Linked DNA regions of Struthio camelus. The protein of the gene in region 1 purifies or fractionates together with the protein of each later gene. This does not show direct contact. Links are inferred from orthologs where the notes say so. Each region holds a gene or a part of one and is shown on either strand. Other genes may lie near its edges.

Region 1 (7,840 bases):
CTGCATCAACAACCCAGAGCCATGAAGTCGCCAGAGGACGTTGCATAAGCGGAGGAGCGCGTTGCCCGGGTGGGTGGGCAGGTCTCCACCGGCGCCCGCGGGAGGGGGGGCTCCGCGCACGGCAGCCCCCAGGCAGCGGCAACTCCCCACCTCTCTGCTGGCATTAATGGGGGGGGGGGGCGCGATGGGCACAAGGGGTGAAACACTGCTTATTGCACGCAGCAATATTCGGGTGCCGGCTGCCTCCGAGCAGAAGCGATCGAGTCGGGCACGCTGCGCAATCCAGCAGGTAGAGATAGGGCTGTGCATGGGAGCGCGGGGTGCTGGCGTGCCCCAGCCTGCAGCGCCGGCGCGGGTGCTTGCTTTCGGCGTTCCTGGGGACAGGCGAAGCGAGCAGCCCCTCCGGCAGCCAAACGCACGCGGCCGCCAAGGCGAGCGACAGTGCGACGACGCTCACGAGACCGCCGGCACGCGCCCCAAAACCGCCTGCCTGGGCTACCGCGTTTTGGGCCGCCTGCAAACGGCCCCAGCCGCCGCCCTCGCGATGCTCGGGGCACGTCGCCTCCCTGCTGCGGTCGCTTTCGCACCAGCGGCCGCGGGCTGGGCGAAGCGGGGATGAGCCAGCGGCCCTGCCACCTCCGCAAAGCGCCAGTTCAAGCCTTCCCACACTCCAGATGAGGCTTTCCTCTAAGGATGACCCACTCTGGGGGCTTCCTGCTGCTCAATGCTTCCACACACTTGTGTCCCCACGGGCTGGCACGTGGTCCCCGGGCTGCAAGCACACCAGCAGCCTTGGCCTTAATCGAGGTGGGAAACTGAGGCACGGGCAGTCAAGCCCAGCGCACAGGCGAAACCCCACCATCGCCAGGCGCCCCGAGTTGCCCAAACCGTGGCGGGACATGAGCCCCCAGCTCGGTGTGCCCCGAAGGGCGCTGGGCCCGGAGCCAAACCCCCACCGGGAGGGGCAGAGGCAGTGGGTGCTCTCGCTCCCCGGACCGTGCACGGCGCTGCCTGCTTTGCAGGGGCGAGATGGGCAGCGCCGGACACCCTGAGCAGCCCCCAGCACCGCATGCAGCGCCGGGCACCCCCAGCGACGCCGAGCACAGCATGCAGCACCGAGCACCCCCAGCACAGTGCGCAGCGCCCAGAACCCCCCAGCAACGCCCCGACCCCCCCGCGCACCTGGGTAGGGGGCGAGGCGAGGTGACAGCGAGGCGACGGCGCTAGGGCCGCGGGGCCCTCGGCGGCGGCGCCGCCGCCGCCCGGGGAGCGCTGGCGTGCGCGTCCGCTCCGCACGGACCCCGACGCAGCGCTGCCGGCCCCGCCCCAGCCGCGCTCTTTATATCCCCTCTGGCCCCGCCCACGCGACGCATCTCCGCCAATGGGACTCCGGGTCGCGAAGCACCGCCCCTTCCCTGGGAGGGGCGGGATGGCGGGGCTCCGCCCCCTCTCCCCCCACCCGCGCGGGGTCTGTGCGCAGCGCCGAGCACCCGGCGGGCGGGCGGCCGCAAGGGGCGGCTTTAATGCAAAAAAAACCCGAGCAAATTAAAAACTGCCTCGAACCGAGGTTCATTAAAGATGCTCTCTCTGGAAATCTGCTCTCGCTGCATGTGCCCCCCTCCCTCCCCAATGCGCGGTTTGCTGGGGTTGCTCTTGTCCTAGCCAAAACAGGAGGAAGCAAAACAAAAACATATATACATATATGTATGCACGTAAATCTATATATACACACACATATACAAAAAAAGAAAACCTTAAGTTAAAATTTAGCATTGGAAGTTAAATGTTAAAATGCAGCCTACAAATACTGCCAGCCCTAGAAAGTTGAAGAATTTAAATGTGTGATGATGCCGTTTCAGTACTTTGTTAATATTTAGCGAAAATATAGTGCCAACAACAAACAAGCTATCTAATGACCATCTTATGTAACGCGGCATTAAGAGAGAGCCAAGACAGCCTTTCTCACGAAATGCTTGCTCTGCAGAACCAAGGGGAAAAAAAGACAAAAAAAAAAAAACCCTAGCACAGTTCAATATTTGAAATTTCGTGGGAGAAAAAGATTTTAAAAATTTCAAGCAAAATATACCGGACTCAACCACATTTCAAATTAATCAAAAAAATAAATAAATAAAGCTTGAAGGGATACTGAACTGCGTCGGTTGTATTAGTTTCATATAAGAAAGGCTTGTTTGAGAAGAAGCAGCCTGCAACAAGGCCTAGGCACCTCCAGCGCTGAAGCACCGCTCCTCGACGCTTGGACACCAGTACAGTACGCTATATAAATAAAAACATACTGCTAAATAAAATATCGCTAAAATGCTGGAAGCATCGGTCCCAGCTCCAAACTTCAGACCCCAGAGGGCCTCGGCGCTCGGGTCTCGAGAAATTTATCTGACCTAGAATGAAAAAAATAGCCTAAAATTTGGGTGCTTCGGAGCAGCCAGGGAGGAATCACAGTGCTGACGGCAAGAATCCAGTTTGAGTTCCTGGGACGAAGCCTGCGCCGGGCACGTTCAGGAGACGAAGATACATTTCATTTGTAACCGGTCGAGAATCAATCGTTTTAAAAGCGGACGGATGACAAGATTTGGACGGATTTTCGCTGCGCTTTTCCTCTAATGAGAGCCTCCGAGTTTACTGCCGCTCTCTTTACAGCTGGCTTCTGAGCACCGTTTCGGTGTTTTTTTCTCTCCTTTAAGACCCCAACGGGAAGGATGTTAGGAGCCCCTTAGAGCCTCCGGTTGGGGATTCACGGCGGGAGGGAAGTATCTCGGCTCTCAGCGGGAAGAAAAATAGCTTTTCTGTCTGAACTAAGTGACTTGAAAAGAGGAGTCAAGGGTTCCCGCAGAGCATCCTGAGGACGAAGCCCCGCGTCCTTGCCGCGTGCCGCGGCCCGCTGCGCGGCGCGCACCCCGCTACACAGCAGCCTCCCCTTGCCTTCCGCGAGGCTAAAGGAAAGTTTTCAACTCCTTCGCTTGCACATGGCATCACTTAAACCCCGCTGTTACACGGGCTGCGCTCTCCGGAGGGGACCCCACGGGCGGACGCCGCCGCCGTCGGCCCAGCGCTCCCGCCTCGCTGCATCGCCGCCTCCAGCCTGCTGCAAAATCAGCTCCATCTCCCCCCCCCCCCAAAAAAAAAAAACCAGAAACAGCCGGTATAAACCTCCCACGGGGCTGCCCGGAGGTGGCATCGCCCAGGAGCCGGGTCACCATGCAGCGCGGGCAGCTGCTGCCACCTATGGATATAAATTAGCCTCGATGTTCAGCCCGGGTGCTCGGCTGAATGGGAAACGGGAGGGTGGGCACCGGCGGGAGCCTCCTGGCCGCGCAGGGCCACGCTCCCCTCCGGCGCCTGGCGGGCGCCCAGCGTGTCCGGCCGCGGGCCGAGCGCGGGCCAGGGTCCCCCTTGCACCACGCACGTCTCCCGAGTGCAGCCCGTAGCGAGTCCCAGGCTGCTTCGTTCGCTTGCGCCAAAAACTTAAGCCTCCGATCCGGGGCAAGCGGTGAGGAGACACGGAGCATCCAAGGCGGCGTAACGGAGGGTCAGCCACGCGAGCGCGACTCGGCGTCGCTCGTCCGACCAGGGCGTCTGTTTAACCCCCTTCGAAAAAGCCGTGAGATGTCTGGCTAGCAGCTACTACTTGCTGCGATAAAGCAGGCGCTAGAGAAATTTTGGTTACACAAGCAAGTTCCCACCTGCTGACCCCTCCGCTCCTTTGGCCAAGCCTTGGGGTCGAAGGACGGTGCGCAGAAGGGGACGGTTCAACGTGTGTGTCTAATCAGTAAAGCAATGTGCTAATCCGGGCAAATCTGGGAATTGCCTTGCAGAAACCAGCGGAGGAGCTGCTCAGCATTTATCTTTCCACAGAAAACTGTTAGGCCGGTGCCTCCTTTCTAGGATGAGCGCGTGCGATTTTGCTACCAATCCGTGATACAAAGCACGCAAACAAATCGATGGCTAATGTAATTCCGCAGGTTTCGATGCGGGTCAGCGCAGCAGTGAGTCTGCTCATTACTGTCTCCCTCTGGATGCGCCTGAAGCTTGTGCTGTTGGCCAGATGCTTCCATTAGCAGCCCTTCATCTACGGTGATGAGAAGATGCGGGCAGTGGGGCTCTCTCAGCTCAGTGGCCGCGGTTTAATAAGAAAAGCTGTCCCCTTGCATTGCTTTTCTTGCCTCGCGGACGTGAAGGGCTCTCCAAACGAGCGCAGCGACGGGCGGCAGCTTGATACAGCCCCGGACTCCCTCGCTGTACAAACAGTGCAGTCCGGTGCTGTGCAGCATGCCGAAAATGGCACTGAACCACAGGGCAGAGGCGTCTTATCTCCCTGCTGCTTGCCCTGCCTGGGGAACGAAGCGGCGCCCCGGGATGGGATCTCTCCCCGTCTCGGCGCGCGCTGAGATTTACAGGATCAGCTCCTCCGGCCGCTGCAGGTGTGACGTCCACCGCTCGCCCAGGCGCCGAAACTGCTGGGGCGTCCCGAAAGCAACGCATTCGAGACTACCGTATCAAGAGGCAAGTTTTCGCAGAGGACAAGTGCCTGTCTTGGCTGCTCCTCGGAGCGACAGCGGGTCAGACGGAGCAGCTGGATTGTATTCTGTGCAGCCTCTTTTGCGGCAACCGCGTCTCAAGGGAGCGCGAAGAAGCAGAGCGGCAACATTATAATAGCAAAGGGGAAGGTGAAGAGCGGAGAAGGAGTTAAAGTCGTCAGAGGAAATAGGCGTTTGGATGACGAGCTGCTTCGGCGCTGGATGTGGGGAAATGCTCCTAGGGGCAGGACTTTAGACCTCCGCTGATTTTGTAATCTGGTGCTGGCTGGTTTGCACGGCTCGGGGTCGGCGTTTCAGGCAGAGCAGGGTCTGCGCGAGCCGGCCTGGGCTCCGGCGCTGCTTTCGGGGTGGTTTTTACCTTTGAGACCACTCTTTCCAACTTGGCTGAATTTTGGCCAAGAGCCTCCTGCAAGCGATTTGCTGGGGACACGGCCACGCTATGCCCGGCCGTTATTAAAACGCTGCTCAAGTGACACCTTGCTCTGGTGCGCTCCCACGCCGGGAGCTCCGGGGCCGGGAGCCTTCCCGCGGCGGCGGTTAACCTAAGCCAGCCCTGCCTCGAGGCGATACTGTCCCACGAGAGCGCACGCCGCACCGGGGGCCCGGCACTGGGACCCCCCCATCATCCCGGATGAGCTAGGGAAGCCGGAGCCGAAGGCCTCGTTGTCTGGAGGTATTTTTAGGCTGCTTCATCCTGGAGAGCCGGATTCAGTTGCTAAGCAGACGCCGTTCCCAACCCTCCTCCAGCCCCTCAGCATCCCCGCTCGCTAGCGCAGGATTGGGCCCATCGGGCTGCTGTGTGCTGCCCTCACCCCGGCTGGCACCAAACCTTCGCTCGCCGAGCTACAAGGATGCCGGAGGGGGCACGTCTTTGCCCTATCTCAGCCTTGTAATTTCCCATCCGCTGGAGCGATTCGCCCGTCCCGGCACCTCTGCCCGTCCCGGTCCGGCGCGGTGACGCTGCGCCCAGGAGGACGGCAGGCACAGCAGCTTGCGGGAGCCCTCCGAGAACAGGGGCGACAGCGATCGCCGTCCCCAGCCGGCTGGGCTGCTGGAGGGCTTGGCCGTCTCGGCATCACCTCCAAAGTTTATTTTTAAACCTCTGGCTGTGGTTTAGCGGGATCAGCAGCGTGTGCTGCTGCAGCGCCTTGGGCCGTTCCCCGCTGCCGCCCCGCTCCTTCGCCGCCGCTGCCTGCCCAACGCTGCTGCCCTCGCCCGGAGCTGCCAGGCCTGACCCGCTCCCCGAAAGCCTTCTGCTCTCCGGCACCTCGGCCTGAGGAGCAGTAAGTCTGGCCCACGTCCGAGCCGCCCTGAATAGCAGCGTAAACATGCACCAAAATCCGCCAGGCATCACACCCGCGAATCCATCCCCTCAGAGCTGGTACCTTACTCCAAGGCCAATCCCTTTCCCTCGGCACCGGCCACGGCGCTGGGAATCGCCACGTGGCAGAGCCGTGGGCGGCTGGTTTCGTGGGGCTTTGAGCTCGCTTGGTTTGGGCACACAGTAACCTACAGCTGCTGCAACGGCGGGGTGCAAAGGCAGGGCTGGCGTGGAGGGAGCCGAAACCCCCATCATGCAAAGACGGAAACCTTACAGTCTTCATCCCTTCCCTTCCCTCCCCAAGCTCCTCTGCTGGCTGGTCCGATGCCTGTTGCTTATGGGGATGCAGAAAACAGCATGAGGCCCCACGTTTCTTCTTTTCAAGGCAAGTATCTCTCTTGCTTTGAAAGGCAAGGAGGAGGAAAATAGCAGCTTTTGCCCTCGGGAGATGCTCAAAGAGGTCATCCGTTGTGGCCATGCAGTCTGAGTCTCTGGTCCAGGCCTCGAGACAGTTCGCTGGCATTTCTCCATCGCGCCTCCAGCGTCCCCGTCGGCGAGAGCGGGGCTTCTGGAGGCTGTCGGGTCGGGCATCCCCTGTGGCTAACGCCTGCGTTGCTAAAAAACCCCGCCTTCAAACTGAGACGCGATGCATTTTGCAGAGTCAAAAATGCAACAGCTCGGCGAGCTGAACGCATTACTCATGGGAATAAACACCCCCGGCGAGAAGGCAAATTCAGACAGGCAGCTTGCGATGTTTACAGCCCAGTTACATACAAATTAAGACGCTGCGGATTACTCGTTCTCCCATGCAAACTGCAGGGGGCCTTCCGGGGGAAAAAAAAACCCCAAAAACCTCATTCATTATGCCTGGGCAAATGTGAATTTTAGCAGAGCTTAAAGCATCAGTCCCAAAGGTGGGGGCTGCGGAGTCGGCGGGAGCCGGTGCCGCTGCCCTGGGCATGGCGCGGGCGCTGCGTGGGCATCAGCCCTTGCCCGCAGCACGCAGGCAGCGGTGCCCTTCAGAGAGGAGTCTCTGTCTTCTCGAATGATCCCAAATCATTCGGTGATGGCTTTTTGCTAGGCTAAAAGAAGGGTGGGGGTACCAGAGACTGAAGAGGACGCATGGGAACGGCTTCACCCGCCACCGGGAGCCGTTCCCGAGCCAGATGGATGCAGACAAGGCGCTAAACTTCCAGCCGCCCCCAGATTTTGGCTGTCCGGGTTTATTTTTTTTTGTGCATAGCTGAGGGTTTAAAGACAGATTAGTAATATTTTTCAGATGCTTGGTCAAGCATTGGGGGGAAGTGGTTCCCCTCTGGCGTGGAAACCATGCCAAGTGCTTGATGATCCAAAAGGATCGAATGTGTTCGACCTGAAACCCTTTGCCCCGGAGCCGGAAGGCGCGCGAGACGCCGGCGGACCTCAGCAGACGGCTATCACTTTAAGTCTCGCAGAGGCTGGGCATCGCGTGGCTCAACCTAGCCCGGATTAGCCAGGTCTGACGGCGCTCTATCCTTTCCGTGCCCTGGACTATTTATAGTCTGATGGGCTGTCAGGCTCTGTTTCATTGTAGAAATAAAATGCACGCTACGGGTAGACTCTGGCCCGGTTTCCGTACGTGCCAGCAAGGCAGACTGGGCGCCACGGTGCACAACCTGCTTGTCCAAAGCAGACATGAAACTGCAAACATGTCTGTACGGGAAGGATGATCCACCTGCGCTCCCGAGCGGCGCTCGGACAGCGGCCAGGTTCTCAGGGGCGTCTGAGTTGGGCGGCGTTTGGCTGGCCTTAGGCTCCCCAGTGCTCTCATGAATTTGTCCTGCGTGGTTACCTGCCATGCTATTTTTAATGTTTGCTAGATGCACTCTTCATTTCTCTTTCTTCTGTCTGGGGAAAAGGGTAAAAATTCAAACCAGCTATTTTTACTGGAGAAAAAAAGGATACAAAAGAGGCCCATTACACACTC
Region 2 (7,786 bases), on another chromosome or scaffold:
GGTCCCCGTGACCCCCATGTCCCCGTGACCCCCATGTCCCCGTGACCCCCGTGTCCCCACCCCACGTCCCCCAGGTCCCCGTGTCCCCCGTGTCCCCGTGACCCCCGTGTCCCCACCCCACGTCCCCTGTGTCCCGCGTGTCCCCCTCCCGCGCCCGGTCGCTCGCGGCGGCCCCGCCCGGGCGGCGATGGGCGGGGGCGGGGGCGCGGCCGGACGCCGGGGCCCCTCCGACGCCTGGGCCCGCGGGCGGCGGCCTGGCCGGGTGCCGCGGGCGCCCCCGGGGGCGGGGCCAGACCAGCGATTCCGTTCGGGGGCGGGGCCAGGGCGGCGGGTCCGCCCCCGGGGGCGGGGCCAGACCAGCGATTCCGTTCGGGGGCGGGGCCAGGCCGGCGGGTCCGCCCCCGGGGCGGGGCCAGGGCGGCGATTCCGTTCGGGGGCGGGGCCAGGGCGGCGGGCTCCGCCCCTGGGGGCGGGGCCAGACCAGCGATTCCGTTCGGGGGCGGGGCCAGGCCGGCGGGTCCGCCCCCGGGGCGGGGCCAGACCAGCGATTCCGTTCGGGGGCGGGGCCAGGACGGCGGGTCCGCCCCCGGGGGCGGGGCCAGGGCGGCTGCTCCGCGCGCGGCGGAAGGGGGCGGGGCCTCGCCGGTTCCCTGGCGCGTGGGGCAGCGGCGGCCGCGATGGTCGGCGGGGCCGGGGGGCTCGTGGGGGGGCCCGGGGGGCTCGAGGGGGGGCCGGGAGCGCCGGGGGGGCCCGGGGGGGCGGGGCGGAGCGGGCCGCGGGGCCGGGGGCGGCGGCGGGCAGCAGCGGCCCCGCGCGACCCCCGTGTCCGTGTCCCCGCAGCTTTTCTACTCCTTCTTCAAGTCCCTCGTGGGCAAAGACGTCGTGGTGGAGCTCAAGAACGACCTCAGGTGAGGACCCCCCCCCACGGGGCCCAGGCGTCCGGCCTCCCACCCCCACGGGGACCCCGGCGTCCGGGACCCCCGCCACGGGGCCCAGGCGTCCGGGACCCACCCCCACGGGGGCCCAGGCGTCCGGCCTCCCACCCCCACGGGGACTCCGGCGTCCGGGACCCCCCCCACGGGGCCCAGGCGTCCGGGACCCACCCCCACGGGGGCTCCGGCGTCCGGCCTCCCACCCCCACGGGGACTCCGGCGTCCGGGACCCCCCCCACGGGGCACAGGCGTCCGGGACCCACCCCCACGGGGGTCCAGGCGTCCGGCCTCCCACCCCCACGGGGACTCCGGCGTCCGGGACCCCCCCCACGGGGCCCAGGCGTCCGGGAACCCCCCCACGGGGTCCAGACGTCCGGCCTCCCCCCCCCACGGGGACCCCGGCGTCCGGGACCCCCGCCACGGGGCCCAGGCGTCCGGCCTCCCCCCCCCACGGGGCCCAGGCGTCCGGCCTCCCCCCCCCACGGGGACCCCGGCGTCCGGGACCCCCGCCACGGGGCCCAGGCGTCCGGGACCCACCCCCACGGGGGCCCAGGCGTCCGGCCTCCCACCCCCACGGGGACTCCGGCATCCGGCCTCCCACCCCCACGGGGACTCCGGCGTCCGGGACCCCCCCCACGGGGCCCAGGCGTCTGGGAACCCCCCCACGGGGTCCAGACGTCCGGGAACCCCCCCCCACGGGGCCCAGGCGTCCGGCCTCCCACCCCTACAGGGCCCAGGCGTCCAGCCTCCCCCCCCCACGGGGACTCGGGCGTCCGGGACCCCCCCCACGGGGCCCAGGCGTCCGGGACCCCCCCCCCACGGGGCCCAGGCGTCCGGGACCCCCCCCCCACGGGGCCCAGGCGTCCGGGTAACTCTCTCTCCCCCCAGCATCTGCGGGACGCTGCACTCCGTGGACCAGGTGAGTGGGGCCAGGGGCCACGGGGGGGGAAGGGGGCTGCGGGGGTCCCGGGGGGGGGCTGGATCCCTCGGTGGGACGGGACCGGGGGGGCAGGTTGGGCCCACGGGGGTCTGTGGGGTGGAGGGGATCGTCGGGGGCAGGACCCTCGGGGTTCCCAGGCCGTGACCCCCCCGCGTCCCCGCAGTACCTGAACATCAAACTGACGGACATCAGCGTCACCGACCCCGAGAAGTACCCGCACATGGTAAGGCCCGGACGCCTGGGTCCCCCGGACGCCTGGGTCCCCCCCGGGCCCCAGACCCTCCGATGCCGGGGTCCCCCGGACGCCTGGGTCCCCCCCGGGCCGGCCGCGGTGCCCCAGGCCCTCCGATGCCGGGGTCCCCCGGACGCCTGGGTCCCCCCCGGGCCCCAGGCCCTCCGATGCCGGGGTCCCCCGGACGCCTGGGTCCCCCCCGGGCCGGCCGCGGTGCCCCAGGCCCTCCGATGCCGGGGTCTCCCGGACACCTGGGTCCCCCGGACACCTGGGCCCAACCACCCTGGACGCCTGGGTCCCCCCCGGGCCGGCCGCGGTGCCCCAGGCCCTCCGATGCCGGGGTCCCCCGGGGCCCCGCTGACGCCCGGACGCCTGGGTCCCCCGCAGCTGTCGGTGAAGAACTGCTTCATCCGGGGCTCGGTCGTGCGCTACGTGCAGCTCCCGGCCGACGAGGTCGACACGCAGCTGCTCCAGGACGCCGCCCGCAAGGAGGCCCTGCAGCAGAAGCAGTGAGCCCGGACGCCGGGGCCCCCCGGACGCCGGGGCCCCGTCACCCCCTCCCCGGCCCGGATGCCGGGGCCCCCACTCCGCTGCCCCCCGTTTCTCTACCTCACCCCGACGCCCTCCCCGAGACCCCCCTGCTCGCCCGGACGCCGGGGTTCACCGCTGCGCCCCAGCCCCGCGGGGGCCGGGGGGGTGAGCCCCGGCGTCCGGGCGGCGGCGGGGCGCAATAAACGCTGGTGACGGGCACCCGGACCTGGCTGTGTCGTGGCTGCGTCCCCGGACGCCGGGGTCCCTCGGGGGGGGGTTGGGGGGTCCCGGATGCCGGGGTCCCTGGTGGGAGGTTGGGGGGTCCCGGATGCCGGGGTCCCGGGTGGGGAGTTGGGGGGCCCTGGACTCCTGGGTGGGGGGAGGGTAACGTTCCCCGGACGCCTGGGTCCCTGGAAGGCGTTGGGGGGGGGGTCTCGGACGCCTGGGTCCCGGGTGGGGGGGGATTGGGGGTCCCCGGAGGACCCGGCTGTTCGCCCGCCGCCAGGGGTCGCCGGACGCGCTCCGTAACCCGCGGTGGCCGCTCTGCCCCGCCGAGCCGCACGGCTCTATGATCCGGGAGCCCGCCCCGCCCCCCTCCTCCCCCCCCCCCCCCGCACACACAGCGCTGACTGAGCCTGCGCAGCGGCAGCAGCCAATCCGGGAGCAGCCCGGGGCGCGGGGCGGGACGGGCGCATGCGCGGGGCGGGGGCAGGCGCTGGCGGCGCATGCGCGGTGCGCGCGGCTCCACGCGGTTCCCCACGCACCGGCAGCAGGTACCGACGGCGGCTCCGGGACCGCGCCGGCCCCGCCCCCTCCGCGCCCGCCGGCCCCGCCCCCTCCGGCCCCGCCCCCTCCGGCCCCGCCGCCGCCGCCGCCGCCGTCGCTCCGGCCCCGCCGCCGCTCCGGTTCCCGGTGCCGCCGGTGCCGCCTCCGCTGCCGCCTCCGCTGCCGCCCCCGGTGCCCCCGGTGCCCCCGGTGCCCCCCGCCCGCCGGCCCGGCGCGCGGCCATGGCGGCGCCGCGGCTCTTCCTGCGGCCGCCGCCCGAGGACGCGGCGGCGCAGCGGGTGCTGATCGCCGCCCGGTACGGCGGGGCGGCGGCGGCGCTGGAGCTGGAGCGGGTGGCGGCGGCGCCGGGCGCGGGCCCCGGGGCGCTGCCGGCGCTGCGGACGCCGGCGGGGCGGCTGCTGGCCGGGCCGGGCGCCGCCGCGCTCTTCCTCAGCCCGCCCGCGCTGCTGGGCCGCGGCGCCGCCGCCGCCGCCCTCGTGCGCCAGTGGGTGGCGTTCGCCGAGGCCGAGCTGCTGCCCGCCGCCGCCGTGGCCGCCCGCCGCCCGGGCGGGGAGGTGCGGGGCACCGGGGGCACCGGGGGCACCGGGGGGACCGGGGATGGGGGGGACTGGGGGGACTAGGGATGGGGGGACCGGGGGGACCGAGGGGACCGGGGATGGGGACACGGGGGGACCGGGGGGACCGGGGGGACCGGGGATGGGGACACGGGGGGACTGGGGATGGGGGGGACCGGGGGGACTGGGGGGACCAGGGATGGGGACCGGGGGGACTGGGGGGACCGGGGATGGGGACACGGGGGGACCGGGGGGACCGGGGATGGGGACACGGGGGGACTGGGGATGGGGACACGGGGGGACTGGGGATGGGGGGGACCGGGGGGACTGGGGGGACCAGGGATGGGGACACGGGGGGACCGGGGGGACTGGGGATGGGGGGGACAATGGGCACCGGGGGGGCACCCAGGCACCGGGTGGACCGAGCATGGGGGGGACCGAGGGGACGGAACATGGGGACACGGGGGGACCGGGGGGGACCGAACATGGGGGGGACAGTGGGCACCGGGGCACCGGGGGGACCGAGCATGGGGGGGACACGGGGCACCGGGGGGACCGAGCATGGGGGGGGACCGGGGGGGATGGGGGGCACTGAGGGGACCGAACATGGGGGGGACACGGGGGGCCAGCGGTGGGGGAGGAGACAGGGGACCGGGGGGACCGGGGATGGGGGGTCCGGGGGGACGACCAGAGACACGGGCTGGGGGGCTGGGGGGGGGCCGGGCAGGAGCCGGGACAGGACCCGGGGCCGGGGGGCCCCCGGGCGGAGCCTGGACCCACCCGGACGCCTGGGCCCGGCGGCAGACGGAGGAGCGGGCGCGGGCGGCGCTGCGGCGGGCGCTGGCGGCCCTGGACTCCCACCTGCGGCCGCGGACCTTCCTGGTGGGCGAGAGCGTGACGCTGGCCGACGTCACCGTCACCTGCGCCCTGCTGCTGCCCTTCCAGCGCGTGAGCTGCCAGTCCGCCCGGCCCCCGTCCTCCCCGCGTGCCCCCCGCGTCCCCCAGCGTGACCCCTGTGTCCCCACGCACCTCTGCCGGTCCCCGCGTGCCCCAGCACGGCTCTGCCTCACCGTCTCGCGTGCGCAGCCGTGTTCCCGCGGGCCACCGCGCCGGTCGGGTCCCCGTCCGGGTGTCCCCGTGCCGGTCGGGTCCCCGCGTCAGTCGGGTCCCCGTCCGGGTGTCCCCGTGCCGGTCGGGTCCCCACGCCGGTCGGGTCCCCGTCCGGGTGTCCCCGTGCCGGTCGGGTCCCCGCGTCAGTCGGGTCCCCGTCCGGGTGTCCCCGCGTCAGTCAGGTCCCCGCGTCGGTCGGGTCCCCGCGCCGGTCGGGTCCCTGTCTGGGTGTCCCCGTGCCGGTCGGGTCCCCGCGTCAGTCGGGTCCCCGTCCGGGTGTCCCCGTGCCGGTCGGGTCCCCGCGTCAGTCGGGTCCCTGTCCGGGTGTCCCCGCGTCAGTCAGGTCCCTGCGCCAGTCGGGTCCCTGTCTGGGTGTCCCCGCGCCGGTCGGGTCCCCGTCCGGGTCCCTGCGTTAGTGGATGTCCCCGCGCCGGTCGGATCCCCATCCGGGTGTCCCCGCGTTGGTGGGTGTCCCCGCGCCGGTCAGGTCCCCGTGTTGGTGGGTGTCCCCGTGCCGGTCGGGTCCCCGCGCCGGTTGGGTCCCTGTCCAGGTGTCCCCGTGTTGGTGGGTGTCCCCGTGCCGTTCGGGTCCCCGCGCCGGTCGGGTCCCTGTCTGGGTGTCCCCGTGTTGGTGGGTGTCCCCGCGCCGGTCGGGTCCCCGCGTTGGTGGGTGTCCCCGCGCCGGTCGGGTCCCTGTCTGGGTGTCCCCGTGTTGGTGGGTGTCCCCGCGCCGGTCGGGTCCCCGTCCGGGTGTCCCCGCGCCCGCGTGCCGGGGCCGACGGGCGTCCGTGTCGCCGCGCAGGTGCTGGGCCCGGCCGCCCGGGCCCCGTTCCCCCACGTGCTGCGCTGGTTCCTCACCTGCGTCCACCAGCCCCACTTCCAGGCGGTGCTGGGCCCCGTGGCGCTGTGCGGGGAGGGGGCCGCCGGCGCCCCCCTGGGTGAGTGGGGCTGGGCCGGGGGCTGCGGGGGGCCGGGGGAGCCGGGGCGCCGAGCCTGACCCTGCTGCCCCCCAGAGGAGCCTGAGGCCGTGGGGCCGGGCGCCGTGGGGCCGGGCGCCGCCCCCCCGGCCAAGAGCGCGTCGCAGCTGAAGAAGGAGGCGAAGAAGAGGGAGAAGATGGAGAAATTCCAGCAGAAGAAAGAGAAGAGCCAGCAGCAGGAGGTGGGCGCGGGCCCCACGGCGGAGCGGGGACGGGCCCCACGGCGGAGCGGGGACGGGCACCATGGTGGGACGGGGCCGGGGACGGGCCCCACGGCGGGACGGGCCCCACGGCGGAGCGGGGACGGGCACCATGGTGGGACGGGGACGGGCCCCACGGCGGAGTGGGCCCTATGGCAGAACGGGGACGGGCCCCATGGTGGGATAGGACCCGCGGCAGGTCGGGGCTGTGCCCCATGGCGGGGCCCAGGGCCGGCCCCATGGCGGGGGGGCGTCACCTGCGTGCCGGTCCCACAGAAGGCAGCAAAGGGGGAGAAGAAGGAGAAGAAGGAGCGGAAGGAGCTCGGGGTCGTCACCTACGACCGGGAGACGCCGCCGGGGGAGAAGAAGGGTGAGAGGGGCCGGGCTGGGGTGCGGGGGGGCAAATGTGGGGGGCGGAGGGGTGGGGGAAACGGGGCCGGGGGGGGAAGCGGGGCGGGGGGGACGTGTCGCGACGTGGCGCCCCGGCGCTGACGGGGCGGCGCAGACGTGAGCGGCCCCATGCCCGAGTCGTACAGCCCGCGGTACGTGGAGGCGGCCTGGTACCCGTGGTGGGAGCGCCAGGGCTTCTTCAAGCCCGAGTACGGGGTGAGTCGTGCGAACGTGCCCCGGGCGAGCGTGCGTCCTTACGTGAGGCCCCCGTTTCGGCATCCCCGCGTAATGCCCAGGGCGACGCGGCGGCCCTGTGCGAGGCCCTCGTGCGTGGCTCGTGCGCAGCCGTGCCCCCGTGCGGTTGCCCTGTCTGAAGCCCTCGTGCCCGGCGGAGCCCCGCGCACGCCCCTCGTGCGAGGCCCCGTGCCCGGCGGAGCCCTCGTGCGCGGGCGTGCCCCGTGCCCGGCGGAGCCCTCGTGCGCAGCCGTGCCCCGTGCCCGGCGGAGCCCTTGTGCGTGGCAGTGCCCCGTGCGAGGCCCCGTGCTCGGCCGGCGGAGCCCTCGTGCGTGGCAGTGCCCCGTGCGAGGCCCCGTGCGAGGCCCCGTGCGAGGCCCCGTGCCCGGCGGAGCCCTCGTGCACGGCCGTGCCCCGTGCGAGGCCCCGTGCGAGGCCCCGTGCGAGGCCCCGTGCCCGGCGGAGCCCTCGTGCGCGGCCGTGCCCCGTGCGAGGCCCCGTGCGAGGCCCCGTGCCCGGCGGAGCCCTCGTGCGCGGCCGTGCCCCGTGCGAGGCCCCGTGCGAGGCCCCGTGCCGTGCCGCCCCGCAGCGCGCCAGCCTGGCGCAGCCCAACCCGCGCGGCCTCTTCATGATGTGCCTCCCGCCGCCCAACGTCACCGGCTCGCTGCACCTCGGCCACGCGCTCACCGGCGCCATCCAGGACGCCCTGACCCGCTGGTGAGACCCGCGGCGCCCCCGGGCCCCCAGGGGTCTTGTGGGGCCCTTCCTGTACCCCCCCCCGGTCCCCCCAGGCCCCCTGCCCAATGGACTCCTGGGACCCCCTGAGCCCCCTCCCCCTGGAGCCCCTGGGCCCCCCTGGCCCCACAGCCCCTCTGGGCCCCCAGGGGTCTTGTGGGGCCC

The links. The genes of interacting proteins can lie anywhere in the genome.
Region 2: the proteins of EEF1A2 (region 1) and VARS1 purify together in Homo sapiens (co-immunoprecipitation; 3 studies listed by BioGRID and IntAct, counting the BioPlex papers as one, with this or other methods). This does not show direct contact. The link is inferred for Struthio camelus from reciprocal best matches to the Homo sapiens genes EEF1A2 and VARS1.

Annotation. Positions count from the first base shown.
Region 1 is NC_090959.1:17,050,800-17,058,639, reverse strand, and holds the start of EEF1A2 (elongation factor 1-alpha 2), read left to right. Parts: upstream 1-4,829; 5' UTR 4,830-7,840. UniProt on the Homo sapiens protein: Translation elongation factor that catalyzes the GTP-dependent binding of aminoacyl-tRNA (aa-tRNA) to the A-site of ribosomes during the elongation phase of protein synthesis.
Region 2 is NW_027182645.1:8,805-16,590, forward strand, and holds the start of VARS1 (valine--tRNA ligase), read left to right. Parts: upstream 1-4,779; 5' UTR 4,780-4,923; intron 4,924-5,887; 5' UTR 5,888-6,023; intron 6,024-6,098; 5' UTR 6,099-6,199; coding exon 6,200-6,244; intron 6,245-6,538; coding exon 6,539-6,632; intron 6,633-6,767; coding exon 6,768-6,868; intron 6,869-7,475; coding exon 7,476-7,603; intron 7,604-7,786. Other genes in the region: U6 snRNA-associated Sm-like protein LSm2, read left to right, coding at 678-680, 841-908, 1,821-1,851, 2,036-2,095, 2,492-2,617. UniProt on the Homo sapiens protein: Catalyzes the attachment of valine to tRNA(Val).